Linked DNA regions of Rattus norvegicus. The protein of the gene in region 5 interacts with the protein of the main gene of each other region in a pairwise test. Links are inferred from orthologs where the notes say so. Each region holds a gene or a part of one and is shown on either strand. Other genes may lie near its edges.

The links.
Region 1: the proteins of Prr13 (region 5) and Srek1ip1 interact in binary tests that used the Homo sapiens proteins (3 or more experiments, as listed by UniProt). The link is inferred for Rattus norvegicus from reciprocal best matches to the Homo sapiens genes PRR13 and SREK1IP1.
Region 2: the proteins of Prr13 (region 5) and Lgals3 interact in binary tests that used the Homo sapiens proteins (3 or more experiments, as listed by UniProt). The two-hybrid records come from large-scale screens. The link is inferred for Rattus norvegicus from reciprocal best matches to the Homo sapiens genes PRR13 and LGALS3.
Region 3: the proteins of Prr13 (region 5) and Klhl12 interact in binary tests that used the Homo sapiens proteins (3 or more experiments, as listed by UniProt). The two-hybrid records come from large-scale screens. The link is inferred for Rattus norvegicus from reciprocal best matches to the Homo sapiens genes PRR13 and KLHL12.
Region 4: the proteins of Prr13 (region 5) and Zcchc10 interact in binary tests that used the Homo sapiens proteins (3 or more experiments, as listed by UniProt). The two-hybrid records come from large-scale screens. The link is inferred for Rattus norvegicus from reciprocal best matches to the Homo sapiens genes PRR13 and ZCCHC10.

The regions. Positions count from the first base shown.
Region 1 is NC_086020.1:37,707,618-37,713,871, forward strand, and holds the start of Srek1ip1 (protein SREK1IP1), read left to right. Parts: upstream 1-2,119; 5' UTR 2,120-2,284; coding exon 2,285-2,297; intron 2,298-6,254. Other genes in the region: spliceosome-associated protein CWC27 homolog, read right to left, coding at 1,620-1,661. UniProt on the Homo sapiens protein: Possible splicing regulator involved in the control of cellular survival.
Region 2 is NC_086033.1:23,101,593-23,107,332, forward strand, and holds part of Lgals3 (galectin-3), read left to right. Parts: intron 1-4,242; 5' UTR 4,243-4,246; coding exon 4,247-4,264; intron 4,265-4,722; coding exon 4,723-5,082; intron 5,083-5,740. UniProt on the Homo sapiens protein: Galactose-specific lectin which binds IgE. May mediate with the alpha-3, beta-1 integrin the stimulation by CSPG4 of endothelial cells migration.
Region 3 is NC_086031.1:48,480,966-48,485,991, forward strand, and holds the end of Klhl12 (kelch-like protein 12), read left to right. Parts: intron 1-718; coding exon 719-877; intron 878-1,164; coding exon 1,165-1,263; intron 1,264-2,741; coding exon 2,742-2,928; intron 2,929-3,133; coding exon 3,134-3,260; 3' UTR 3,261-3,370; downstream 3,371-5,026. UniProt on the Homo sapiens protein: Substrate-specific adapter of a BCR (BTB-CUL3-RBX1) E3 ubiquitin ligase complex that acts as a negative regulator of Wnt signaling pathway and ER-Golgi transport.
Region 4 is NC_086028.1:37,969,279-37,975,679, forward strand, and holds the start of Zcchc10 (zinc finger CCHC domain-containing protein 10), read left to right. Parts: upstream 1-2,180; 5' UTR 2,181-2,190; coding exon 2,191-2,219; intron 2,220-6,215; coding exon 6,216-6,374; intron 6,375-6,401.
Region 5 is NC_086025.1:135,468,471-135,474,782, reverse strand, and holds Prr13 (proline-rich protein 13), read right to left. Parts: upstream 3,744-6,312; 5' UTR 3,679-3,743; intron 3,045-3,678; 5' UTR 3,025-3,044; coding exon 3,006-3,024; intron 2,666-3,005; coding exon 2,316-2,665; intron 760-2,315; coding exon 709-759; 3' UTR 439-708; downstream 1-438. UniProt on the Homo sapiens protein: Negatively regulates TSP1 expression at the level of transcription. This down-regulation was shown to reduce taxane-induced apoptosis.

The DNA.
Region 1 (6,254 bases), on a different chromosome or scaffold from region 5:
ACACACACACACACACACACACACACACACACACACACCTCATGTATATATACACAATTTAAAAATATTTGTTGAAGGAATGAGCTCCTGTTCAGAAATGCTTTTACTCTATGAATGTGTCAAATCATTTCCTACAGTAAACAACCAGTTCCAGCATAGCTAAAGACTCATATGAAACCCTCTTTTATTTCTTAAAAGTGTCAAACAACTAAGTCTGGGCATGATTCACCCTTACTTATGCTCAATACCTCTCAGAAGCTAAAGAAAACATAGTATTAATTCATCTGCCTAGCTATTCTTTCATAGTGCATGAACTCCACAGTGTATGTGAAGCAATGTTCTAGGTCAGTGGCTCTCAATTCCTAATTCTGTGACCTTTTAATACAATCCCTCATGTTGTAATGACCCTCAATCATAAAATTATTTCCATTGCTATCTCATAACTGTAATATTGCTGCTGTTATAAATCCTAACATGAATATCTGATATGTCGGATGTCGGATATTCAACCCCTGTAAAAGGGTTATTTGACCAAAGTGGTCACAAACCACAGGTAGAGAATCACTGTTTCTAGATGTTTATCTTCACTGATAGTGTTTGCATTCTATATAGGAAAGAAACAAAAGTAATATACTATTAAATACTTGGAAATTGTTGAGACCCAGGGCATCACTGAGATTTGCTATTTTATAGGCCTCTTTGTTAAGAGTGACGTTTGAACAGATAAAATAGCATACTAGAGAAATGAACAGCAAAAGTTAAGGTCCTGCATTGGGGAATAAATGGTCAGTCTATTTTATCTCTACGAGCATTTATTAGTTAAAATTAATATTGTCCTCTAGAAATATAGCTCGGTATGAAACCTATCAGGGAATCGATTCCCATTCCTACCCAGTAATATTCCTCACTCCCCCGCTGCCTCTGACAATTATCTCAAAAGATATGTCCTCCAAGATGTTTTCCCCATCATTTCCTGTTTTTCACTCCGCCTTACTATCATGGCAATATAATCTTCTTCAATTCTTCCCAACCAAAGGCAGGTGTGTCGATGCACGCCTGTAATTTTGAAATAGGGAATTAGCAGCTAGCCATATATATATATGTGTGTGTATATATATATACATATATATGTATATATGTATATATGTATATATGTGTATATATATGTATGTATATATATATATGTATATATATATATTTGTGTGTGTGTGTGGGTGGGGGTGTGTGTGTGTAGCACACCAACCTTGCTTTGTATCATCAGCACCTAGTAGAGTGCGTTGTGCCAAGGAGGCCTTCAATAAATGATGGTAGAGAATGCGCGACCTCCAAGTTAAACAACTAAAAAAATGAACAATCTTAACGTAAGTCTTAAAAACAACAGACACTAGAAGGCGCTCACGTGAGTTGGATCAAGGAAGTTAAGGGGTCAGAAGACTAGCGAATAGAGAAGTTGCTCAATAACTCTCAAAAATACGCTGAGACATGTCACTGTAAATAGTATAAATGCAACAGTGGCCATAAGCATGATGTGGAGGGCAGTCCTTTTGGTCTTTCAACTCCCTTGCCACCCCCAATCAGGTTGCTCTTAATTAGGATGTCCAGGTGGTAGAGGCTCTCACCTTCCCATTCGTGGGCGGCTCCTGGATGTAGATGTTACTCATCTTGCTCACTGCTCAAGACTCCGTTCCTTAGTGTGGCCGCGAGCGAATGGCGGGTCTCTGACGATGCCCACCTGTTAGTAGACAATTCTTTACCTGGGTACTTGGGGAAAACTTTACTCGGTCAGAGTTAGACAGGACAACCGTACTAAGCACTAGCTACTCCCCCAAACTATCCCCTCATGGACGTCGCCATGTTGCTCCCGGATCGCAGCACCGCTAACTCCGGGAGGGGGGATGTCCCTGTTCTTCAGGAAACTAGAAAAGACTATAAGACCTCTGCAACTTTAGAGAATTTGTCGTGTCATTCATAATACTAGCTAAACGGCCAATCCGTAAATCCGGGTGCTGCGTCCAGGTCCGGTGTTTGCAGATAGCACTCACCTCCGGAAGCTGGCCGAAATGGTTCAGACCACGTGTGCTCCGCGGTAGGACACCCCTGGAAACTGGGTCCGCAGCTTCTTAGTTCCGCCAACCCTGGATGTGCATCCGGCCTTCTCCTGCCCTGTGAAGTTGTAGTGACCGGGTGGGAGAGATCCCTCTGCTAGTGCGTTGTCCTCGCTAAGGACCTGAACGAAACGCGATCTCGAAAGCTCAGGACTCCGGTGACCCCACTCACCTGCATTATGGCAGTCCCAGGTGAAGATCAACCGCAGGGCTCTCTCACTCCAGAGGAATGAGGCGAGCAGGGGAGTCCAGGACCGGGGGTGGCAGGGAGCACTTGGGGATTCAGGCGAAGGCCTGAAAATTTAGAATCGGTTGATTTACATGAAAAAGTTTACACTACAAGTTCAAAGAGGGCTGGGAAAGATCATCTCTGTCATTCTTGTGCAAGCCCAAACTGCACAGGATTACAGGGAAAGTGTATTGTAAGAGGGACAAGAGAGTTGGTGACAATGAGAACTGTAGGCCTAAGGGGACAAGTTGCCCGTAAGACTGTAACTTTCACTGAATTTCAAAATAAAATTCGAAGTGTGAACTTTTGGCGAATCCAGGTGGTACATTGTAGTGAAAGTCATCCAGTCAAGAAGTGCACCTGGGGCTTGTCCTAGCTCTTCCAGCCTTTAGTTACAGTGTAGCTGTAGGCCGGTTTCTGTGCCCTTCTGGGGCCTCAGTTTCCCTCTTAGTTTCAAGAAGGCGCTTCCTTGAATTGTATCAAAGATTCTTTTGTAGGTTCCACTTTGGTGTTCAGAGGTTTCTAACCTAGACACGGCACACTGGGCTCCGGGGATGTTTTTGTTTGCTGCTCCAGTTTACTGGGGAGCCTCAAGAACTTCCCCAAGCCGGCCTTGTCAGAATGTGTTTCTGCAAAAACCCTAATATCGGGCAGGTGTTTTTAAGAGATATACCCACCTTACATCTCCAAGATTCACAATGCATAGTACTGTAGGAAAGGCCCTGAAAATATTTATGAAGCCCCAACTTTGCTTAAAAAACTACCTCTTCCCGCTACTGTTTGACCCCTGGTTTTGTTCTGTGGCAGCCTTTTCTGAACTTTATTCTAGAGCCAGCGGTTGCAGGGTGGGGGTGGGGCTGCTTTCCTAATTTCTGCACTTTGCAAAGGAGCACACCTGGAACTGTGAGAAGAGAGATGACTGTATGTTCTTTATTATGTGTGTGGTGGCGAGCATGATAGACGACACCCTTGCTCTCTTAGGACTCAACAGGGAACAGGAGGAATTTGCAGAAAGTGGAACTAATGGTGCGGCAAGCAAAAACAGTTAGGACACCTAACAGGATTCAGAGAGGACAAACCACGGATGTTCCAGATGAGAGCTAAAGAAATATGAGAGGGGTTGGGGATTTAGCTCAGTGGTAGAATGCTTGTCTAGCAAGCGCAAGGCCCTGGGTTTAGTCCTCAGCTCCTGGGATGGGGGCGGGGGGGGGGGGTGACAAAAAAAAATGTGAGAGGGCAGGGAACCTGCAGGGAAAGGGAGCAGATATAGAAAGGAAGAGAAAATAGAAGAGCTAACCATCAGCTAACCTGAGAGAAATGAGAAATTAACTAAAAAGATAATTCAAAGTATCTTAACTTTTACTATGTAACCCACATACCTGATACTATGTCAAACATTGTATTTTTTTCCTTTAATAACCACTACTGTGAGATAGCTGATGCTATTCTCACTTCACAGAGGGAGAAACCAAGAGCTAATGTAGGTTATCCAAGCTCTTCCCCACTATGCATACAAATGCGTTCTCCAAGGTATCCATGGCACAATAGATTTCCTGTGACAGAAGGACCTTACAAGCAAAAACAAAGTGTTAGGATGTTAGTAGACAGCAGGCAACCACTTAACAGATTTAAGAAAAATTACATGTTTAGAATTCAGTAACCTGGAGGAGAGTTAGTTACCTTAGAGAACTGTTGGTGCTTAAGGGTGTTTCTGCTGGATTATGTTACCATTGAGGAAGTGGTCCCATTAAGAGAAGCAGCTAACTTGTAGGTGTGTTGGTAGTGGTAGAATCATTAAGAATTGATTGCTTTGATGAGGTGGAAATGGTGGAACCTGGTTCTTGACATTAGCTCATTGAGAAGGCTCCATAACTGGGCAGACATCCCTCAAGATCAGGGATGAGAGACAGCAATGAGGTCAGCCTGGAGCTTGTGTTAAGGTGGATCTGACACAGGAATGGAAGTGGCCAATAGACAGCATGGGAGTAAACAGATACTAGGCAAAAAGTCAGAATCAAAACAACACTTATTATAGCAATAAAGGGATAGTACATGAGGAACTGTATGGACACAGTGGGTGATGTGTGAAGACGTGACTAGAGTCTAGGAATAAGAGCATTTAAGGGGATAGCAGAGAAAAATGAGCCTGCACAGTACTTGTCTAGGCACTTTGAGAGACTCCGGTGACCTCTGCATCACCCAACTGCACCCAGAGTTGGCCTGCTATCACTGTTCATTATTCGAGCAGGTGCTCTGAGCACCCATGTGCTATGAGCACCCCAGGAGGCACACCGTAAAACTTTAGGAATGAGAATGTGCTCCTTAAGGAAAGGGACAAAATGGACTTTTCTTCCAGCTTTGTTTGAGACGCTCTTAAACTTGAAACCAGTGTTAAAAAAAAAAAAATGTTAACCTTTCAATTCAAAATAATGTTGCAAAGCATAATAATAATTTGTGTCATTAAGCTAGATGGAACGACTTACATAAACTGCTTAAACCCACCAAAAAAAAATCAAGATAATAGGCTTGACAGGTGGCTCAAATGCACAATGCCACTGCTTTAGAAAATGCAGACATAGAAGGTGTTAAGGTAATTTCTTGGATGATCGATCCAGACGCCGCATGGAAGGGAAATGGGGCTCCATTGAGGTGATCATCAAGAAGGACAAGTATTGTGTCATGCTCTTTTATTTTAGGTGTGATGGATCCAGCTTGGGGTGACTCACGCCTGGTTATTATAAGGTATAACTATAGAGTAATGAGGCTGCTTTTCACAAACCACCGGCCTTGTCTGCTTCAGCGGTCACGTGCTTCCACCTCCGTTCCCTCAGTATTGTATGCCAGCTTAAACCATTATGTAGGTAACAATGAGATGCTAAAGACTGTAGAAAAAAACTTAGACACTTAGTTATTTGACAAACGGCATTGAGCATAGGGTTCGGTGAGGTTTACTTTCTTTGCAACATTTCTTTGCTTCTAACAGTTGTTCAGTTTAGCTCAGCTGTTGAACTCGTGTCAGTAAGTCACCATTCTCCGTCAAGAGTTGACCTGGCCCAAGTGGCCATGTGTGTTACTGAGCAGGATGGAGCAAAAACTGACCTTTTTCCGTCTCTCAGTGAAGTCCGTGTAGCCAGGGACGAGGATGACAGTAGCTAAGTCATAACAGAAGAAGGAAGTCATACCATAGCCAATTTTCCTCATTCCTCAGCCTTACTATAGGTAACTTCTTTTCTCTCTCACATGGCTGCTGGAACAATGTTCACGAATCAGGTCTGATTCTATCATTCCTGAGGGGCAGACAGCAATCTGTGGATTTTGTAATTCTCTTTAAGCCACTTAACCTTTCATAGGCGCTTTCCTTGTCCCCATAACTAGGGAGGCAGTATCGTGAATTTCTTCAAGCTTCTAAAACATTTGAGTTCCCTTCTGTGCAAGAATGGTGTGTGTACCTCTGAGCATGACCCAATTCTCTTCTACCTTTTCCTGCCCTTCTTATGTATTCTCCAGTGACAGGGGAATAGAAAGCCACCTGACTTGAACTCTTTTCTGACCTCTCTTTGTCATCCCTTCATTATTGGGGTCCTCATCTTACTTGGAGACCATTGCACAACTGCCTTAGATTTCCACCTGTCTGCCACTTTTTTTATGCTTATGAACAAAACTATATGCTGTTTCTCATGTTGCCCAACACAGTCCGTCCTGCAGTACAGCTACATGTACACTACTCTAGGGAATCCAGTACGAGGTAGCTTCTTGGAGCGAGGAGCTTCATTCATCTTTATGGCCTTTCTAATACCAGTTCAGAGTTATACTCATTTACAGGATTTATAGCTCATTTATGACAACCACAATCCAGTGCTGGAAATCTTGCTTCATTAGACAATAGATTATATACCAGGACTTATGGGTACCTGGCCTCC
Region 2 (5,740 bases), on a different chromosome or scaffold from region 5:
TTCACAATGTTTAGGAGTTTGGTTTGAAATCTGCACTCATTCCATATTCTGGAGAGGACTCTGATGGGGTCTTTCAGGCCTATGCTTAGAAGTGTTTAATGGACAGCTCACTAAATTGTACACAAAGCAGAAGGGGTAGAGAATTGCTTGAGGATTGGCTCGAGGGTTCTCAATCAGTGAGAGAGTTCACTGGGTCAAAAGTGTTGGTTTATCATTTTTCAAGATGGGGGTCTCACAAGTAGCACTGGCTGGAACTTCATACATCAGGCAGGCCTGGACTTACGATACCCACCTGCCTCTGCCTCCTGGGTCTGCACAGATGCTTTCCAAAGAACCTTTCCTCAGGTGGGTGTGGGAGTGAGCGCCTATAATCCCAACATTCAGGAAGCAGAACTCAAAGAATCTCAAGTTCGAGGCCAGTGTAGACTACATGTAGAATTCCAAGCCAGCCGGGGCCAAAGAGTAAGACAGACCTGCCTTGAAATAAATAAACAAGCTTCTTACTTCTTGCCAGTGAACTCGTGTCCTAGGTCAGTCTTATTGACGATTCGGGTGCCTATTTGCCCAGCACCCTCAGTAGCCAAAATCTAAGTCTTCGCTACAACAGACACTGCACACACATTCACAACACCACACACACACACACACACACACACACACACACACCCCTCAGACACACACAGAGAGACAGACAGACACACACCCCTCAGACACACAGAGACAGACACACACAGAGAGACAAACACACACAGAGAGACAGACACACACAGAGAGACAAACACACACACAGATACACTTCAATTTAAAAAAAATCTATATTTGAGAAGTAAATACTGTAAAGAAAATTCTAACTAAAAACAATGAATACTTTTTTTTTTGGAAAAATGCAGTGTATTGGTTAAAATGTGGTTTTTCTTAACAATGTGGCTGTGTGCAAAAGCATTCTATACCCAGCAGCCCGTGTATTGACTCACTGAGTGAATGACTCACGAGTCACTGAGTGAATGACTCACGAGTCAGTGTCTGCCCAGAGCTCCTTTTTATTTTAAATCTGTTTACTATTTCAGTCGTGTCGCTCTGGGTGAACCAACAAGCTGAATTTTCAGGGATGTAACTAAAAAGTTCCAAGGATTCTATTTTAAAATATCAAAAATGTACAGTTTTAAACAAATATAGGTCAGACTTGAGTTAGGGTCAGGAAACTTGGGCTCTTGTCCCCAGGATGCCAATGCTTTGGGCCACTGAATGAGCTCTCGGATTCCTCACTTCACAGTGGGAATATTTTCTCTCCAGCCAGCGTTACCAGATTGCTAACAAAAGAACAGCTCAGTGAAAGTTCTCTGGGAACTGAAAATCACAGTGCAGGGAGGGCGTCGTTACCCTGACATCATCCAAAGGCCCACGTGAGTCACAGTGAAATCTGCTGCCTTTGGGATTTCATTTGGTCAGATTGGAAGATGGAGCCAGCCAGCCTTGATCAGAGGCTTTGCACAGTATCTCTTAGCGTTTCTAGATGTATCACTCTTTAAACAGAATTTGACTGGTGTTCTGTTAATAGAGCACCTTTTGAGGAGAATGGGAAAGTTCGATTGTTTGTTTGTTTTCCCATGTAGGCTCTTTTGAGTGACATATTATTTAACAGTGATTTGACCCTTCAGACCTAAGAGTTTAACTTGTAAATCTTCAAGTCTCTTAAAATTGAAGCAGGGGTTGGGGATTTAGCTCAGTGGTAGAGCGCTTGCCTAGGAAGCACAAGGCCCTGGGTTCGGTCCCCAGCTCCGAAAAAAAGAATCAAAACAAAACAAAACAAAACAAAACAAAACTGAAGCATATTGGTCCTCAGCTCCAAGAAAAAAACAAACAAACAAACAAACAAAAAACAAACTAAAACTGAAGCGTACTTAAGAGGGGAAAAGGGTTTCTTTATGGGGAAGTGCTCGTTGGTTAGTTTTTAGAGACAGTCTTGCTCTGTGGCCTAGGTTAACGGTAAAGTCAATCCTCCTGCCTCAGCCTAAGATAGAGGTGTGTGGCACCATGCCCAGCAGAGGATTGCTCTTGTTTGTCTGCTTGTGCAGCTTAGACAGGCTCCACATTTCTGCTCCTCTTACCTCAGCCCCCCCTAGACTTGAGGTGGCAGGTGGTGACCATCCTCCCTGGTAACCTTCGCTACTTTAAAATTCCTTGTTGGTTTTTATGGCCCCTTGTATGTAAGTTTATCTAGGGATAGACACTGACAGCCTGAATTGGTAGTCTTCAATTCAACCAGAGGTGATTTTTGGCCTTAGAGATTTTTCCCACCTTTGAAAACATTTTGGGTTGTCACAAGTTACAGGGCAGTGTGCCACCGGCATCTAACGGCTTGAAGCCAGAGATATTGCTGAAGGGGTGGGGAAAGGTTTAATCAGAAGTGCTAAGTTCTCTGTCCACTTTGAGCTTCAAAACCACTTCCTAACAGGATCTCACAATGTAGCGTTGGCTGGTCCGGAACTCGCTCTGTAAACCAGACTGGCCTCAAACTCACAGAAATCTGCCTGCCTCTGCCTTCTGGGTGCTGTGTACCACTATGCCCAGCCTAGGCTTTATTTTCTTAAGAAAAAATCTGAAGCCAGGAACTGCGGGTCCTGCCTTTGATGCCAGTCCCTGGGAGGCTGAGGAAGGGGGGTTGCTGTAAGTGATCAAGGCTGGAATGAGACCCTGGAGCTTGGTATGTGGTCCAGGCTGACCTCAAACTCTCAGGCTACAGAATGCTGCGCTCACAGGCATGATGGACACGGTGCTCACCTAATCATGTTATTTCTCGGGATAACTGAGTAAACTATCACAGATGGGCAAAATGAAGTCAGAAGAGAGTCTGATTATGTATTAGGTTCAGGTGATTCTCTTTCTTTTTTTTTTTTTTTCCCCCTTTTTTTCCCGGAGCTGGGGACCGAACCCAGGGCCTTGTGCTTGCTAGGCAAGCGCTCTACCACTGAGCTAAATCCCCAACCCCATGTTCAGGTGATTCTCATGGCAGCAAGATGGCTGCAGTCGTTCTGAGCTCTGATCGATCTCATTCCCGTCCAAAGCTGCCCTCCCTGTGGCTGCTTGCATTGTTTCGTGCCTTAGTGCTAGCCTTTGCCAAATATGCCAATTGCTGTTAATTTAATCGCCAGCGCCCTAAGAAAGGAACGTTTCCAAACCACAGCTGCTCTCTGCTGCATTCTGAGGGAATCTGCTGAAAAGGGGGGCAGGTTTCATGCATCCTGTGGTTTGATAGGTGTGGCACAGGAGCAAGAGCTGGAGGAAACAGGGTACGTCTGCAAACCAGCCCCGTGACCAATCCGTGTAAGGCAAACCTGTTTGGCAGTATCTTGAAGGCAGCTGCCTCAGGCCGCCTGACTGGCCTTTGCTTGGCTGTTTTACTGCTGTTTTATTTGTTGTTGGAAACAAACAAACAAACAACAGCAAAAACCCACAGGCACCACAGCCAACACTTGAGGTGCTGAGGCAGGAGGATCCTAAGTTCAAAGTCAGGATGAACTACATAGAAAGACCTTAATACTTACAATACTTCGAAATCCAACCAAACACTCCCAAATGCCGCCTGTCCACCACCAACGCCCTTCCCAGCTCACAAGTGAGTTCTCAGGTTTGAATGTCCCAGCAGCACCGACCACACTCTGGTGTGCATGCGTCTCATATCTCTCACTGGCCTGGGGGCCCTGGGGGCCCTGGGATGGTGTGGAAAGCGATGGCTCAGAGCAGGCGTCAGGGTGCACCAAGCGAGGGTAACTAACCAGGCAGCAGCCATATCAGCTGTCTTAGAGATCTCGGTAGGAACCGACAGATGGATTTCCTCCAATCTGTGGCTGGGAAGAGAGGAGGGAGGGTTGTACTTCCCATGTATCCTTGCAAGGGTAGAAAAACTCAGGGAAGCAGGGAGCCAAGAGAATTTACCGTCTTTCACCGAGAGGAGAGACAGGAAATTCTCAACCTACCCCTTAGCCCTCAAGGCCTTTTACTCTCAGAGCACAAGCTCCTGGCGTCAAGGTCTGACTTCAGAACCTGAGTGGGTTTGGAATTTAGCTAGACTGTATCCCGCCTGTCCGCAAGATGTTTTTATGATCCAGCGCCATTGATCTAGGTGAAATGATTGTAGACTGACCAGAATTGCCCATGAACTATTTATGTTTAATCTCGTGAGATTTTGTAAAATGTTTTAGGCTCAAGTACTAATAACCCCCTTTGGCTTTTCTCTCTTAGGAAAATGGCAGACGGCTTCTCAGTAAGTATTTCATGTGTGTTCTCTTAGCCGAGCTTTCCCTTTGACCCTCCTACTGTGAAACTCCCTCTGGCTCTCGTGTGCATTCAGGCCTGTTAGCAGCAGGCTTGCTTTCCCAGCAGCAGATTACAGGGAGAGGTGTGGCCTGCACAGCGGAGATGTCCCTCCTGGAAGCAGCGAGACGGTGACTTGGTGCGCTCATGCCAACACCTGCAGCTGTCTCTCGTGTTGACTAGAAAGCGTGTGTTTATAGCCAGCCAGTTCCTGGTGTAAACCAGAAGAGCTTAACCCACCCCGACCCACGAAGATGAGAGACCAGAATAAAATACAACACAAAACAGCAGAAAAGGCGAGGGAAGAATATGAATCTTTTTCCTGTACTCTCAGCTTCTTAGATCACAAGTGCCTGGAGTCCCGTGGTGAAGGAGTCCCATCCTCTAATTGTTTGTCTTTCTTTACAGCTTAATGATGCCTTAGCTGGCTCTGGAAACCCAAACCCTCAAGGATGGCCTGGTGCATGGGGGAACCAGCCTGGGGCAGGAGGCTACCCAGGGGCCTCCTATCCTGGGGCCTACCCAGGACAGGCTCCTCCAGGGGGTTATCCTGGACAGGCTCCTCCTAGTGCCTATCCGGGCCCAACTGGCCCTAGTGCTTATCCTGGCCCAACTGCCCCTGGAGCTTATCCTGGCCCAACTGCCCCCGGAGCCTTCCCAGGGCAACCTGGGGGACCTGGAGCCTACCCCAGTGCTCCTGGGGCCTACCCCAGTGCTCCTGGGGCCTATCCTGCTACTGGCCCCTTTGGTGCCCCGACTGGACCACTGGTAAGGAGGAAGTTGTTTCATGGGCTTGCTGTACCAGTGGGGAGGACATTAGAGGGAATTTAAGCCTGCTGCTTAGCCATGTCTTAAGAGTCAATGGCAGGGGTGTAATCAGTCAAGTAGGAAAAGGAATGTGTTCATATTGAGTTGATTCTGTAACTTGTTATGATAAGGCATTGGGTGGCTTACACCTATAACTCCAGTAAACACTGAGAGCTTTTCAAGACTGCAAAACTTTAGCTCAAACCAGGGATGCAAGGAGGGAAATGATGGGGTAGAGGTGACTCCTCCACCTCGTACCCATGCAAGCAGGCTTTCCAGTCACCCAGTCTAGTCACCCGGGGGGTGGGGAGGAGCAACTGCGGGACGCATATGCAAGGCCTAGTGCAGACCAAGGCTAGAGATGGACGTTTGGGAGACAGCAGAACCTAGGAGGAAATGTCGTAGTGGAGAGACCAGAGGCAGGGACAGAGCTCCGGGGAAGTCCACCAGCCCGTAAGCACTTTGCCTAACACTTGTGGAATGAACTGTAGAAGAGCTCATGCGTAAAGCATTCTGCTGGTGACCTGGGAGCACAGAAGTCCCAGGTGACACAAACCTTTCCTCAGGGGGCAGAATTACAGTTCTGTATGTCATGTCAAGGGGACCCAGGGACCTATGC
Region 3 (5,026 bases), on a different chromosome or scaffold from region 5:
GCACTGGTCATAGTTTATAAATTCCATGTGGACAGTCGTCAGTGCCTTTAAGTATTTCTTTTTGTAGTTCATTTTGTTTTGTCTTTCAAGACAGGGTTTCTCTATATAGCCATGGTTGCCCTTAAATTCCCTTTGTAGGCCAGGCTGACCTTGAACTCGGATCCACCTCCCCCTGCCTCCAGAGTGCTGACATTTAAAGTATGCACCACCACCCGGATCTCTTAAGAATTTTTATTTTCTTGAGATGGAGTTCAGTAAATTTCCCTGTGTAGCTTGTCTGAAACTCGGGTGTACATAAAGGCATGAATGAGCTTTAAATGCTTGTTTGTACTGCCTTTCTTCTTCCGAGACTTGAGTGACTTATCATCTAAGGGGAAAATGCTCAGAGTACAAAATATACTTTTACACACACACTACCATATACAGTTAATATACACAGTGGGAAATTTAAGAACAATAATAAAAATCAACTTGAAGAAAGAATAAGAATTTGTTTGCTTGAGACAAGTTCTCAAATAGCTCAGGCTGGCATTGAATTTGTCTCTGGTCACAGTGGCCTTGAACTCCTGAAGCTCCTCCTGAATCTCCTGAGTGAGGTAATTACACTCATGTGTGCATCTCCTCCTCGCATCTTAACAGTCAGTGATTTGTAGAGAAAAAAGTCCTAGAAGTTTTTCCTTCTTAATTTAACAGTCTATAATTTGTTCACTCTGAGCAGATATGATTTACGTTTCTGGAGGCTTTGATGGAAGCAGGCGTCATACAAGTATGGAGCGGTATGACCCAAACATTGACCAGTGGAGTATGCTGGGAGATATGCAGACAGCTCGAGAGGGCGCGGGACTAGTGGTGGCCAGCGGCATAATCTACTGTCTAGGTATGAGCCTGGGGTGGGGCTGGGCCAGCTTAGTGGACTCCAGAGGGCATCACTTTTACCAAAATTATGTGTATATACTCACATCAAACAAAAACTCTGATTTATCTCAATGTATTGTCCATGAATAGGATTATATTTTTCTTGTAAGCAATGTGCAGGATGTTGCATATTCTCCGACCTGGAAAAAATAGAACTGAATCAATTGAATTTTTCACAGGCCAACTAAAATTAAAATGAGCCTGAGAATCTACATTTCTTTTTGGAATGTTCTCCATTTTGTCTTTCAGGAGGATATGATGGCTTGAATATATTAAATTCAGTTGAGAAATATGATCCCCATACAGGACACTGGACTAATGTTACGCCTATGGCCACCAAGCGTTCTGGTAAGACCAAGTCAAATCTATGATGTGACAGAAGTGCTGTCAGTCTCGGGATGTGTACAATGACAGTGTAGTTCTGGGTGTGGTATCAGTGGGATAGAACTGGAGTTTGTACTTCACCCTAGACTCAACGTAAACTGGAGTCACAGTCCGGCCTCCTTCACCTCCGCCTTCCCTACAATATGATGAAGGCAGTATGAACTTTGAGGCAGATTGTACATTTGAGGGCAGTGATTTCTTTTTTTTTTTTTTTTTGGTTCTTTTTTTTGGAGCTGGGGACCGAACCCAGGGCCTTGCGCTTCCTAGGTAAGCGCTCTACCACTGAGCTAAATCCCCAGCCCCTGATTTCTTATTCGTCAGTACTTTCCTCCTGTTGTAGTTCTGACCACCTAACCTAATTTTTTTTTTTTTTCGGAGCTGATGACTGAACCCAGGGCCTTGTGCTTCCTAGGCAAGCGCTCTACCACTGAGCTAAATCCCCAACCCCACCTAACCTAATTTATCTGTGTAGTACATATTAAGTAAGTGTTTTTGTCCTGTTGAGGTCTGTGTATTCTTCTTTTACTCTTTGAACTTTGATGTTTGGCTTTTTTAAAGACAGAATTTCCCTATGTAGCCCTGGCTGTCCTGGAACTCACTCTGTAGACCAAGATGGCCTTGAGCTCACAGAGATCCACATACACCTGCTTCTGCCTCCTGAGTGCTGGGATTAAAGGCATCCACTGCCAACCTGGCTAGACTTTGTCTTGAGGGTCCTACCATGCAGTCCTGGTCATGTACAAGTTGCTATGAGGTGATCCTTCTGCTTCTGGCTTCAAGTTATACCACTACATTGGTTTTTTGGTTTTTTGGTTTTTTTTTAAACCTAAGATCTCACTGTATGTAGCTCACATTAACTTTAGACTCCAAGGAATCCTGGGATTGCAGACATGTGACATATACCTGATAATAAATAGCAATGAGTATTACATAAAACCTCTAGTGCCTAAAAATAATTTAAAAAAAAAATTCTGAGGACTGCTCACAGGGCCTTGCATATACTAGGCAAGTACTGTCATAGAGGTCCATCTGAATGACAGCTGAGAACTCTTAGTGGGATAGGCTGTGATGTAACAAAGAGCAGACAACGTGCTGTTCCAGCTAACTGCCTCTGACAGAGGTCACAGCAGAGCCATGGCCATCCTCCTTTGCTCCTCTCATCCTTACCAACACCTTTCCTCCTGCTTTCTGTTTAGCCAGCTGAAGAGGGAGTCTGTGAGTTAATGAAAACAAAGATGAGAACCATGTCAGTCCTCCACTAGAATTCCAGGTCCTAGCCTAAGGGTTGGCCAGTGTGCGCACTAACATTTGCTGTATTAAAGTGTTCTAAGCCTGTGTGACACGTCTGCGTCCCTCATCTCCACAACTCAGCCAGTAGTGAGTTACTGGGATCAGATGCTAGACTTACTGACCTTCATTTGCCAATGCTCTCTTTTCCCCAGGTGCTGGAGTAGCCCTACTGAATGACCATATTTATGTGGTGGGAGGGTTCGATGGTACAGCCCACCTTTCTTCTGTTGAAGCTTATAACATTCGCACGGATTCCTGGACAACTGTCACAAGTATGACCACACCACGATGCTATGTAGGGGCCACAGTGCTTCGAGGGAGACTCTATGCAATCGCAGGGTGAGGAGTTTGAAAGTGGGCCAGAGCCATGTATCCAAGGCAAGAATCCATTCAGGATGGAGGCGTAATGTGTGTTGTGGGAACAACCACTGGGGCTATTTCCATTCCCGGCCCAGTGCGGGGCGTGGACCCTTGCCCAGGTGATAGGACTTGTGTATAAATGGCTGGAGACCTCATTTCTTTCTTTTGTTTTTTCCCCTGTCAGATACGATGGGAATTCTCTGCTGAGCAGCATTGAGTGTTATGACCCTATCATCGACAGCTGGGAAGTAGTGGCCTCCATGGGAACCCAGCGTTGTGACGCTGGTGTGTGTGTTCTCCGAGAAAAGTAACTGTTATTTGGACACCAGCTGGGAACAGTTTGTGGGAGAATGAAGGATCCTTTCCAGAATGTTCACTTCTCACTGTGTGCACAGGGCGATTACAGGCACCAGTGCTGTGATGATTGTACTTATTTGACGCACATGCTCCTTCTCACTGGCCATCCTGCTCAGACGCACGGGGAACAGGTCCTCAAGGGAAGAGAATGCACACACGGATCAGAGACACAGATCATGGCTCTCTGTGGTCTGAGGAGCACTTTCTTCTGTTTGTAACTTACCATGTGCTTGGGAGAATGTGTGTGTGTGTGTGTGTGTGTGTGTGTGTGTGTGTGTGTGTATGTGTTGTGCCTCGTATATTGCAGAGAATTAAGGTGAGTATGGCCTACTAGATGTGGGCAGTGTCCATCCTGTGTGATTGGAAGGATATCAGTTTATATAAGCTTGGTAAAATGAAAGTCTTTTCTCCACTCAGAAGCAAAAATATCTTTTCTAAATACAGAGGTAGCTCGAGGCACCACAGTTCCTTTCTGTAGGAAACCAAGAGATCACTGTCAACATTTGAGAGGCCAAGAAGGAAGATTCGTGCTGTTCTCACTTAGGGAGACATAGTTGGCACAGAGATTTGAGTAAGTGGCAGGAGCTGAATGGAATGTGGGTGAACCCAGAAAATCACTGAAGTGTGAACTGGAAGGCTGGCAAGGACATATTATCTGACTCCATGGTCTTTCTAATGTAAAATGTTGCACCATCTTGGTTGGCACTGGAGACTGAGAGATTAACAGTGGAAAAGGTTAGAATAAGAAATGCTGTAAATGTGCAGAGTTCAACATACCTGTGGTAAACTAGAAATATCTGTGATTTTACAATCATCTTAGTCCCTGCCAGGGCTCCCATAGCCGTGGCAGTATTTGTCTTATGTGGGTGAAAAGACCATCTTCCTGGTGAATCAAGTGCTACCACGTTACTTCGCCTCCACACTATTTATTTGGGGATGGGTGGGGTTGCTGCAGCCTAGTAGTTCAGGTACTGATTACTGCCCTGTTGTTTTAAGGGCGCACTTCCACTGAGGAGTGTTTAATACTGCTGTGTGGTACGTTCAGTTCTCTTCCTGCTATATCTTCTGTACTTGTCATTACAGTGTATTTTATTCATCCTGGAACAAAATAATCAAGGACAATTGAAAATCTTTTGTTAGTTTCCGCACCTCTGCCAATGTTCCCGAGCTGCCATTCTGGCTCCTCTGTCATGGTGAATTCTGCAGTTACTGGTATAGCAAATAGGAGAGTGTGGGAGCCGGAACTGGGCTGCACTTGCCTTTTGCTCTGGAATCCCACTTTTCCTCTCTCCCTGAATTGTGTTTGCTGATAGAGTTAATTTCCTTTGTATTTTTTTAAGAAAACATTAAAAATGAACTGTCTCAAATGGCTTTAAGAGAATTTGTGTGTAGTGCTGTCTTCAACAGACATGTGAGGAACTTTTTTTTTTTTAGAATTATTTATTTTATGTATGTGAGTATACCACCGCTGTCTTCAGACACACCAGAAGAGGGCATCAGATCTCATTACAGATGGTTGTGAGCCACCATGTGGTAGCTGGGAATTGAACTCAGGACCTCTGGAAGAGCAGTCAGTGCTCTTCACCACTGAGCCATCTCTCCAGCCTTAGGTTCCTGGTCTTATTGCTCAGCCTGTTTATCTTATGCCTGCCCACAAGCTCAGCTGCTTCTCTGGTCAACCTGAAGCATCAGTAAAATGTTTGCCCAAACTTGACTGATT
Region 4 (6,401 bases), on a different chromosome or scaffold from region 5:
AGTTTCTGGCCAGCCTGGAAAATTAAAGATGTTATCTTCTTTCTGGCTGAGCGCTGCCAACATGGTGTTCAGGCGTTTCATGGAGGTTGGCCAGGTGGCCTACGTTTCCTTTAGGCCCCATTCTGGAAAGCTCATTGCAGGTGTAGAGGTTATTGATCAGGACAGGGCTTTAGTGGATGGACCCTGCACTCAGGTGAGGAGACAGGCCATCCCTTTCAAATGCACGCAGCTCACTGATTTCACCCTCAAGTTCCCACACAGTGCCCACCAGATGTATGTACAAAAAGCTTGGGAGAAACTTTTCTCCCATCTTCCATATCAATGCGAAATGGGCAGCCACAAGATGTACCAAGAAAATTGATGCCAGAGAATTTCCATTCCAAGCCAAGGTGACAGATTTTGATCGGTTCAAAGTCATGAAGGAAAGAAAATGAGGAACGGAATAATCAAGAAGGAAGTAAAGAAACTCCAAAGAGCTGCTATCCCGAAAGCGTCTCCCAAAAAAAGCAGCTGTCGCTAAGGCTGCCACTGAGGTGCAGTGGCAGCAGCTGCTGAAAGTAAGGTCCCAGCCAAGAAGGCAAACAGGAGCAGGCAAGAAAGCGGAAGCCCAGAAGGCTGCTCTGGAGAAGGCTGCAGGTCAGAAGACCCCAACCCAGAAATCACCTGCTCCGAAGGCAGCTGGCAAGAAAGTATGAGGCTACACAAAGAATAAAGGTTCTTTTTGTCTGAAAAAAGATGTTATCTTTAAAAATAAAAAAAAAAAAAAGAAATAGGGGGCAGAGAGCTGGGTCAGTGGTTAAGAGCACACGTTGCTCCTGAAGAGGATGTGGGTTCAGTTCTCTGCACACCATCCACAATTCTGGTTGCAGGTAACCTACTGCCCTGGTCTGACCCCCTCAGCACCAGCCATGCGCATATGACGCACAAGCACATTCGTACACGCAGACAACACATCCATACACATCTAAAAGAGAGAGAGAGAGATCTAATAATACTAACAGTGAGGCCAATACTGGTCCCATCAGAGCTGTGAATGTATCTTTTATTCACCAGATGTAATTGTCATCTCAGAGGTTTGCTACTGAATAAACCCATCCTTTCTAGTTCTTTCTGAACTCTGGCTGGTTGGTTCAGCCTAAACTCTCTGAGCTGACGCATTAACCTGCTTCTCTCAGCTTCTGACAGAATTGCTCTACTTGGCCTCAAACTGACTCTGGCAATCTGTTCTAATCTTCTGGTCCCTCTCTCTCTCTGACTCATTCTGTCTTCAGACTGAAACCTGTCTCTGTAAAACTGTCCTGGTAAAACTGCTCGCTCCCTCTCTGTCTCTGTCTCTCTGTCTCTCCATCTCTCCCGCTCATCTTGTCTCCGTCTCTGTTTCCCTCTCCCTACCCCTCCTGCTCTCAAGCCACTGATTCAACCAAACTGACTAGAACTCAGAGATCTGCATGCCTCTGTCTCCTGAGTGCTGGGATTAAAGGCATGTGCTGCCACACCTGGTTCTAAATTTCTTTACCTGGAACTTGCTCTGTACCATGCTGGCCTGGAACACGTGTCTGTATTCCGGCCAGTTATGATCCCTTTCCAGAACAGTCATATTGCTGGATTAAAAACTCCTCTACACAGATCTTTCACAGAAGGGAAAAACAAAACAAAACAAACCAGCGTGATCCAGTCATCAAGTTGACACCTGTAATTTCTTGTGGCTTTTGGTGTTTTGCTTTTTAAGACGGAGTTTCTGCGTGCAGCCTTAGTTTTCCTGGAACTTGCCGTGTAGGCGAGGCTGGCCGTAAATCCCAGCAAGTGTTGGAATTAAAGATACGGGCCATTATTGCCTGGCTTTTTTGTTTTGTTTTTGAGCTAGGGCCTTATATGTTTTTCCACGTTGGCCTTGAACACGTAGCAATCCTCTTGCCTCAGTCTCCAAAATGCTTACAGGATTTTTGATACTACAAAATCCTACTCTATATAGATCCCTCGTTTGCGATCACCCTTCGAGGCCGTATTCATACTCAACACAAGACCCGCATTAAAGACAACAAACCAGCTAGAGGCCACCAGTCGCCTCTACTGGGATGAGCTCCTCTGGCCCCGACCAGAACCTCAGAGGTTGTTAAGGGCCCGCCCACCCGTCTGAGTTTCCCAAAAACCCGTGCGGCAGACTCCGGCCGCTTCAAGATGGCGACTCCCATGCATCGGCTTATAGCTCGGCGGCAAGCGTGAGTAAGACGCGTAGTGGGGTCTGCGGGAGGGCTGGGGGCGTCCAGACACCGGTCGGTAGCCAGTGCCGTTGCGGGACTGAGCGGGTTCTGAAGGGAGTCCGAAATGAATCCAAGAGCTGGTCGCTGGGTGGTTTGTGTCCCTCTGTCCGTTCCACACGTCAAGGGTAGCCTGGATGCACGGTCCTACATCTTCCCTTTCAAGGATCCAAACTTTTCCCTCTGCTGCGTTTCCCGCCTCCTTCTTATCGCCTTTCCTAGAAACAAACCTAACTTAAATGCCTATTCATTTCCCATCTACCGTCTCACTTTCTGCGGTCTTCTCAGTAATTACTTTAGTACTAGCATTCCTTGACAGTTTCAGTGTGAAGAAAATGTATTCAAGACACGCAGCTTACAGTTTTGTTGTGGAACCTGTTGGTACTCTAAACAAGTACAGCTAGTGGATTAAATAGCTTTGTTGAAGCACCACGATGGTGATGCTTCCAGCAGTCAAGAGGCAGAGACAAGTGGATTTCTGAATTCGGAGCCAGCCTGGTCTACAGAGTGAGTTCCAAGACAGCCAGGGGTACATAGAAAAGCCCTGTCTCTCGAAAAACAAAACAAAATTAAGCTTTATAGGAAGTAAGAGGTTGTAATGGGGAAAGGGAAAGGCCCGTTTCAAGTTAGTTGGGTTAGAAACGCATCTGCGGAGGGGTGACATTTGAAGAAGACAGACTAAAAGCCATAGGAAGGACAGAGTCACCTGAGGATTTGGGGAAAGATAGACAGTGGTATAATTGCTTTGAGTCTGTTAGAATTTAGGGGTAAGTGGGGGGAGATTTAGGGACAGGGTTTCTCTTTGTAGCCCTAGCTGTCCTGGAATATCTGTAGACCAGGCTGACCTCAAACTCAAGATAGGTGCCTGCCTTCTGTGTGCTGGGATTAAAGGCATGTGCCACCATGCCCAGCTTAAATAAATATTTTTACCTTTTTTTTTGAATCTCAGTAACTATCAGTCCTGGTGGCAGATGCCTTTAAATCCCAGAGCTAGGGAAGCAAAAGCAGGTGGAATACTGTGAGTCAAAGCCAGCCTGGTCTACATAGCAAAACTTCAGGTTAGCCACGACTGTATAGGAAGACTTTGTCTCCAAAAAGAAAAAACAAAGTAACTCAGTAGCTACCCATTCAGTGGTGTAAGCGACTTAAGGGGCCGAGACTGGGTAATTGAACGTGAATTTGAGTCCAGCCTGGAAGACTTCATCTTAAAACTAAACCCTCCAGTTACACCCACTCTGTATGGCCCTGTGAGGTGGCATGTTGTGTTTCTGAAACCTATCAAAAGTCATACGAAACTGAAAGGAAAACACTGTTTATGGCTCTAGTACCTGCATGCTTTGAACTTTCTTGCTCCTGACCTAAGCTATGATTTATTAATTAAAAACCTGAATATTGGGCCAGATATTGGTGGATTACGTTTTTAAGCCCAGCACTCAGGAGGCAGAAGCAGGTGGAACTGTGAATTCAAGGCCATCCAGGTCGACAACAGAGACCGTGTCTTAAAAACAAAAACAAGGAGTGTTTTCCACTTAAAGGTCATGAGTCGGGCTGGAGAGGTGGCTCAGTGGTTAAGAGCACTGACTGCTCTTCCAGAGGTCCTGAGTTCAATTCCCAGCAACCACACGGTGGCTCACAACCATCTGTAATGGGATCTGATGCCCTCTTCTGAAGTGTCTGAAGAGAACTACAGTGTACTAATATATAAATAAAATAAATAAATCTTTAAAAAAAAAAGTCATGAGTCTTTCCTTGTTTCATATTGCTTCTCCTTTTGGTTTTTCAAGACAGGGTTTCTCCAGGCTGACCTCATAGAGATCCTCCTGCCTCAGCCTCCTGAGTGGTAGGATTAAAGGCCTACACTTGTATTGCTTTTCTTTCTTTCTTTCTTTTTTTTTCTTCCTTTCTTTAAGATTTATTTAATCACTTTATTCACACACACCAGAAGAAGGCAACAGATCCTGTTACAGATGGTTGTGAGTCACCATGTGATTGCTGGGAATTGAACTCAGGACCTCTGGGAGAGCAGTCAGTGCTCTTAACCGCTGAGCCATCTCACCAGGCCTGTATTGCTTTTCTTAACAGGTTTATCTTCATCTTTGCTAAATATTTTTCTTAGATTTAGTATACAGTTCCATTGTGTATTTTTGGTTTCTGGCTGGTCATCCATCATATTCCCTGTCCCATCCGTTTTGTTTACCACAGATCTCCATTTCACTCTGTTCTCAGTCCTGCCTCACCCCTCAGGATCCTGGGATTACAGGAGTGCACTGTGTCTAGCTTTAAAATAGCTTAACTTTCTTCTTTATATAATATTTCCAAAGGCTGAACCGAGGAGTAACGTACGCCAAGCAAAAGTTTCACCACAAAGCCCGACAATCCCTCTCTATGTGCCAGTCTTTAGAAACATTTTTTTTTTTCTTTTTTTCGGAGCTGGGGACCAAACCCAGGGCCTTGCGTTTGCTAGGCAAGCGCTCTACCACTGAGCTAAATCCCCAACCCCTAGAAACATTTTTTAAAAGCTATTTTATGTGTGTGAGTGCTTTGGCTGCTTGTCATCTCTACAGCATGTGTGTCCCTGGTGCCCTCGGAAGTCAAAAGAGGGTGTCAGACCCCTTGGAACTGGAGGGAGAGATGGTTATAAGTCGCCGGATGGAATCTGGGAACCAAACCATTTATCCTTTGCAGTAGCAGCAAGTGCTTAACTGTTAAACCGTTTCTCCAACTCTAAATATGCTTGGTTTTGGACTGTAGCCTGTTATGTGACAGGTCTAAAATTTCCCCTTTGTGGTGCTTTGGTGCTCCAAAAAATGTGACCTGTATTGCAGAAGGGTCTTACTCATAAAATTTATTAATAGATAAAGTTTGGGTTTTTCTGTTTGTTTGTTTGTTTGTTTGTTTGTTTGGAAGCTCAAGGACTATTTTATTAAAGTACAAGGTGGTTGTAGTGGCTCACACTTTTAATCCTAGTATCGTGTGGCAAGTGCCTTAACCCACTGAGTTATCGCACTGCCACCATTTTTCATGAGTAAGTAAAAAAGTGATAGCAGAGGCAGATCTATGAGTTCAAGGCCAGCCTGGTCTACAGCTGCAGAATCAACCAAACAAATAACCTTTTTTATTTGCGCGTGTATAGGAGTAGAGGACAACTTGTTGGGGTCAGTTCTCCTCCTTCCACTACACAGACCTAGGGATGCAGCTCAGGTCTTTGGGCTTACAGCAAACACCTGAGCTATTTCCCAGCCTTAAAGGTGTTTTAACAGGTTAGAGGTCTGCCTTAGTAGTAGACAATTCAGGAAGGAGGCTCTGAGTTTAATATCTAGCATTTTGCAAAGAAAATAAAAATCTTTATTATCCTTTATATTCTGAGCTAAAAATGTTGGTCCAAATACATCATTGCTGGGATGGGAAAACTTAGAATTTTTGTTGTTTGTTTTGCTTTGCTGAAACACGGGGTCGCTCTGCAGCTCAGGCTGACTTTGAACTCAGAGCCATCCTCCTACTTCGGCATGAAAGTGAGGAGTATAAGCATGATATTCGGTGCTGGGCTTAGAAGAGCAAGACTCGGGCCAGGGTTGGGGATTTAGCTCAGTGGTTAGAGCGCTTGCCTAGGAAGCGCAAGGCCCTGGGTTCGGTCCCCAGCTCCGGAAAAAAAAAAAAGAACCAAAAAAAAAAAAAAAAGAAGAGCAAGTCTCGGGGTTGGGGATTTAGCTCAGTGGTAGAGCGTTTGCCTAGCAAGCGCAAGGCCCTGGGTTCAGTCCCCAGCTCCAAAAAAAAAAAAGAAAGAAAAGAAGAGCAAGACTCAGCTCCTTCTGTTGAACCCCAAGCTGCATGCATTGGTCACTTAAGTAGCTTTGCAGACTACGGTAAACATTGCTTGATACTTTCTGCTCTTTTAGGTCAGACAGTGCCCCAAGACAAAACTTCCAAGGTTTGTTGTGTTCTCTTTTTTCTTTGTAGTGAAGCCAATAAGCAACACGTAAGATGTCAGAAATGCTTGGAATTTGGACATTGGACTTATGAATGCAAAGGGAAAAGAAAGTACCTACATAGGCCTTCGAGAACAGCAGAGCTGAAGAAAGCTTTAAAAGAAAAAGAAAATAGATTACTGCAGCAAAGGTAGGTTTACCTGTGGTATTCAGGGGC
Region 5 (6,312 bases):
AGTGGAGACATGAGGATCTGTATATCAGAGTCACTGTATCAAAGTCACACACACACACACACACACACACACACACACACACACACTCACACACATATTGAAGTCTAGGTGATGTGAGACTCTCAGAGGAATAAAAAAAGTGACATACTTTAAGGTGTATGACCAAGAGCAACGAAACTAGGCCATGGTGTTGAGCCCAGTTAAGGTAATGGTGAGCAGAAGCTGGGAGAGTAGCGTTTATTTGGTCCTCAGAGCCATCTGAGACAACATACTGAACTGAGGAAGAAATTGGGTTCCAAAAGAGCTCATCAAGTAAAGAAAGGGACTGCACTTCCCAGTGGCTCAACAGTTACTGTGATCAGTAAGGCCGGGAATACGGTTGCTACCAAATCGCTCTCGTGTGTCGCCATTACAAAAGTACAGGTTTCTCATCACAAATTGTCACAAACCCAAGTTACAAAAGAAAAATCACATGGTGCATATCTTAAAAGACAGTGCCCCCCCCCACCTCATAAGCTACGGTAATATCAAGCAGGGAGAAGGTAGCTTTTGCTACCCCTCGGCAGTCATCTTCCCCAACAGCGGGGAGAAGGCACAGGAAGGAGTGGGGCGGGGCGCTAATTTCCCCTCAGTACAAGATGACAGGTGAAGCTTGGTGGGAGACTGGAGCTGGTGAGGCTTGAGGGGAGGAGGCTCCAGGCCCTGTGTTCAGTCAGAGTCACTGCTGGAGGAGGAGGAGGAGGAAGAGGAGGAGGAGTGCTGCAAGGGGAAAGGACACATCATCAGATCCAGATGGCCTCTGGTCACTCCAAGGTCCATTCTTTGGTGCCCCACCCATCCACCCAAGTATCCAGTAGTCAGGAGTCTCATACCGTCCTGTCCCATAACCAACAAAATCAAGGGTTTCCTTCAGCAGTGAACATACAAGAATGGATTAAATTGTCCTCAGTCATTGCACAGAACTGAACACATTGCCTTCTGACCAAGTTTATACTTTCCACACCTAGCCAGGGCCAGGAATGAAGAACAAACACAGCATGGATGCGGGAAGCAGCTGCAACTTTGTAAGTCCCTACTCATTAGCTTAAAGAATGACAAACGAGACTCTCTGCACCTCAGAGAGGGTAGGAACAGCCAGCCACCGTGTGTGTGTGTGTGTGTGTGTGTGTGTGTGTGTGTGTGTGTGTGTGTGTGTGATGCTGTACTTCCTCCAAGTCCCACTAGGGGAAAAAGTGGGGAAGATGGCAGAGACAGACAGATGGCTGGAGAAACCCCACACAGACATACCTCCGTCAGCTACTGTAAAAAAAACACCTGCTACCAGAATCCTAGCCCTTAAGAGTTTCGTGTTGGGGCTGGAGAGACGGCTCAGCGGTTAAGAGCACTGACTACTCTCTTCCAGAGGTCCTGAGTTCAAATCCCAGCAGCCACATGGTGGCTCACAACCATCAGTAATGCAGATCCGATGCCCTCTTCTGGTGTGTCTGAAGATAGCCACAGTGTACTCACATACATGAAATAAATAAATAAATCTTAGAAAAAAAAAGTTTAGGCTCTCAGGGTTCTCTCCCTCATTCAGTGTCTCCTTTCCTTCCCCACTCCCCACATCTCTACCTAAGACCCAGAATCAGGAACTAGAGTCCAGACCCACAAGCAAACATTTGGCATAAAAATCTAACTAAAGCTTCAAGATTAGACTGATGCTTTTCCCAAGTCCTCAGGGAAACTCCTTCCCTCACTAACAATAATTAGCGTCCCTGTGGAAGGAAGGGATACAGGTCTTGTGAAGGAAAATGCCCTTTCACCCCAGGCTTTGCAGAAGGCTGCTGAGTCACAGAAGACCCACCCAGGGAATTAACTCAGCACCTGAGAACGCCGAAGGAGATAAAGGAAATCCAGGAACTAGGGTCAGACCGCCACCCCGCAAACTATTATGCGTCATTGCACTTTGTCAAAGAACTCTTTTGACATTTAGACAACCTTAATGGGTGTGTCCAACTTACCAAAAGATACACCTAGGGTGGGTCAAGGCGGGGAGTTACAGGGATAGAGGGAGAGAAGGGAGAGGGCTTTTGGCTCTGATATCCGCCCCCACTTCACTTTTCCTTTGCAGATGGGAGTGGTCGAATGCCTCAATATTACTAAACTCCTTAAAGGAGGATCTCTTTACGTAAAGGAAAACCACCTGCCAAAAGGACAGGATTGCCGTCCTCCTCCCACGCCCCACAAACCGAGAATGCCCATCCCCAACTCCTGATCACCCCGGTCCCTCTGAAGGGAGCTCCTTCCCCAGCCAGGCTCCAGAGGACACTGACCTTCCCGTGCTTATGATGCTTGTGTGATTTCTTGTGAGCTTTCTTCATTTTCTTCCTAGTCTTCTTGTCTATCACTATTCCTGGGCCTACCATGCCAGGAGCCGGAGGATTCACGGGGCACATGCCAGGAGCAGCTGGTGGGTACGGGGGAGGGTAGGGACCTGAGGGTTGGTATCCTGGACACCCTGGTTGCGGTACAGGATAAGGAGGTCGACACGGAGGGAAAGCTGGGTTTCCCTGAGGAATTCCGGGAGGACAGGGGCCAGGAGGAAAGGCAGGATTTTGGGATGGTGGGCAGGCAGGATTGGAACCTCCTGGACACACAACTTGGGGTGGATATGGATTTGGCCCTAGAGGAAGAATTGGAGAATAAAGATTAGAACGGTGCAAACCTCTATCAACGAGTAACACAAGTCACCACCATTCTTTTTTTTTTTTTTTTTTTTGTTCTTTTTTTCGGAGCTGGGGACCGAACCCAGGGCCTTGCGCTTCCTAGGCAAGCGCTCTACCACTGAGCTAAATCCCCAACCCAGTCACCACCATTCTTAAGCCCTACGGAAAGGCAGAACTCGGTAGCTAGCAGTGGTCCCGTGACTTTGTTTTTGCTGGGGGTTGCAGGATACAGAAAAATCCCGTTTCGTTGCAAAATGGGCTGGGGCGGGGTCAGAGGAGAGCCCCCCAGTTACTTACCAGCACTAGGATTCCACATGTCCACAAGTTAGTTCAATCCTACGAAGTAAAACAGACAAAAATCTGAAGCTCCCAGGAAGGGAAGCGGATTTTCTAGAGCCCGAGCCCCACCCTACAGCCTCCGCCTTACGAAGGCTCTCACTGATAAAACTACCGCAACCTCCACTTTAAAATGGGCAGCACTCTGGAGGCAGAGGCAAGTGGATCTCTGAGTTAGAGACCAGCCTGGTCTAAAGAGAGTTACAGGACAGCCAGAGCTACCCTGTGTTGAAAACCAAAACAAAACAGAAAAAAAGTTTCCTTCCTCTCTCCAGCGCCCTCCTAGCCTACATTAGCGCAGGGTCTAAACCACAGAAACTCTCTTCCTGGGGCCCCTCCCACTTTCACTATCTCACCTGGATGTAGGCGTCTCATTTCCCTCTCCCTAGAAAGGGACCGGAGGCCTTAAGCATCCGTAGTGTGAGAGATAGGACCTAAACCCTAAACTCCCTGCTCGCCCCAGTGGAGAAAAAAAAAAAAAAAAAAAAAAAAGGAACCCAAAACGCTAAGATAAGGACAAAACACACACACCCCAAAGAAAGGGCAAAGGGAGTTCCTAGTTCTCAGGTATAAATGGATCCCTGGCCCAGCTAAGAGGAAAGAAGGGAATTTGGGAGGCCAGATGCCCTGTCACCTTCCCAAGATCGCTGGTCCTCTTCCCGTCCTCCTTCCCAGTCTGGGATCACACACTTCCTGGTCACCCCTATTCATTCTATGCTTCCGCACCGCCCCGGTGACCTAGATAATTATGTGGTCACTCGGCATGATGATTGGAGAACTGACTTGTCAATCGCTGTGGTCCAAACAAGGAGGAAACGTTTGCGCTAGACGCCGGGCGGAGCCTTTTGGAAAAAAAAGCCTTGCGTTGTGAAATACATAACTGGTGAAATAACAGACACAGCGGAAGTGCTCCTTAGGGCGGGAGCGGGGCAGGGCTAGCTCCAAGCAGAGACCCCGAGCCAACGAGATAAACTCTCAGTTTCTTTTGTTCGTTTAAATTTTAAGATTTTTTTTTTAAATGAGTATGAGTGATTTGCCCCAATGTATGTGCACCAAGTGCCTGCTGAATGACAGCGGAGGTCTTCAAAGCCCCTGGAGTCAGAGTTGCTGATGAGCAGCCATGTGGATGCTGGGGACTGAACTCAAACACTTCGCATGAGAAGCAAACGCTTTTTAACTGTTGAGACATCTCTCCAGTCCCTATCATTGCGTTGCGGTTACAGGTCAGTGAGTACATTAGGTGTTTTGTTTGTTTGTTTTAAGGTAGCCTTGTCTGTAACCTAGCACTTGGGAAGTGGAGGAGGAGAATCAGAATTCAAGGGCAATGTTAGCTTCTTAGGGAATTTGAGGCCAGCCAACCCGATATAAGACCTCAGAGAGCCCTGTGCTGGTGGCATATGTCTTTAACCCCTGCACTCAGGAGCTGAGGCAGGTGAATCTCTGGGTTTGAGGACAACCTGGTCGACATAGTGAGTTCCAGGACAGCCAGAGCCACACAGAGGAACCCTCTGTTTCCAAAAACAAAAACAACAAAAAAACAAGACCTCAGAGAACAAAAGGAGGAAGTGCTGCTAAGTCCTAGCCCCAGGTCTCAATGCTGCCAGCTTCTATAACCACAGCCCGTGGTTCTCTTTTTTTTTTTTTAAAGATTTATTTATTTATTATATATGAGTACACTGTAGCTGTTTTCAGACACACCAGAAGAGGGCATCAGTTCTCATTACAGATGGTTGTGAGCCACCATGTGGTTGCTGGGATCTGAACTCAGGACCTCTGGAAGAGCAGTCAGTGCTCTTAACCACTGAGCCATCTCTCCAGCCCCGTGGTTCTCTTTTGTAGAAAGATAGGTAAGAGAGGGGGTCTCAATGTGTCCAACAGATGCCGTGGTTATAGTCTCATGCCATTGTTCCGGGTGAATAACTTCACTTTTGGTTTTGTTGTTTTGAGACAGAGTCTTCCTGTATGACTCAGGTTGACCTTGGAGGGAAGGCAGTCATCCCTTATCTGCCTCTCTCCCGTGCAAGAATAACAAGAGCAAGCCACAACTCTCAAAAGAGTTTTTTTTTTTTTTAAGGTAAAGATTACAAACTCGTGCTTCAGCACATCTAGTTCTAACAGGTGGAGTTCAAAACATGCGAAGCCAAGAGTCTGCAATGTAGCTATATGCCCAACCCATAAATATCTTTTAAAATATTTTATCTTATGTGTTATGGGGGTTTTGGCTACGTGTATGTCCTGTGCACCATGCGCATGCAGCACCCTCAGGAGTCAGAAGAGGGCACCAGATTCCCCTGAGACTGGAATTATAAATAGTTACGAGCTGTCTTGTGGGTACTGGAAAGTAAATCTAGGTCTTCTGGAAATGCAATGGTTGCTCTTAACTGCTAAGCCATCACTCTAGCCCCCATCAACATCTAATGGTAAAAACCCTTTCATCTGTTACTTAAAAGCTGTGCCACCTCACACACATTCTGAACTTCTGCAATCTTTTAGTTCCCTCCTGTGGATAGGGGGCAGAAGGACTGTCATGGAAAACACAAGCCAGCTGAGCAGAACTAGAGTGTAAAGTTTCTCCTGAAAGCAAGATGGCCCAGCAGGTAGCTAGGTGGTAGTGGTACAGGCAGAGCTCTGTGAGTTTGAGGTCAGCCTGGTCTACAGAGCAAGTTCCAGGATAGCCAGATCTACACAGAGAAACCCTGTCTCAAAAACAAAACAAAACAAAACACCCCCACAAACCACAAAAGGAAGAGGATGGTGGCAGCCCAGCAGACTGCCACAGACAACCTCAGTGAAATCCCAGGACCCACAAGATAGGAGAGAACAGTTCCCTGAAAACTGTCCTCTAATGCTCACACACCTGAGAGACAGGAGGATTTCAAGTTGGGGCCAACCTGGACTACCAGAATACACAGAAATCTGGACTACACAGTAAGAACTTGTTTCCTAACAAGGTAGTGTTTATTTTAGGGAAGGAATCGTGAAAATAAAGGGATTTACCTATCTATCATGAAAAAGAAAAGAAAGGGAAAAAAGCTACATATAGGAGCCAAGCCTGTAATCCCAGCACTTTGTAGGTAGGATCACGAGTTCAAAGTCATCCTTGACTACACAGGGAGTTTGAAGCCACCCTGGATTATGAGACCCTGTCTGTGAAGAGAAAAAAAGATGAATAAATCAAGCACATTGCAACAAGCCATACATAGTTGTCTCTGTTCCTCTCTCACCTTACCCCCTCTCTACACTTTATTTTTGAGACGGTATTTCACAC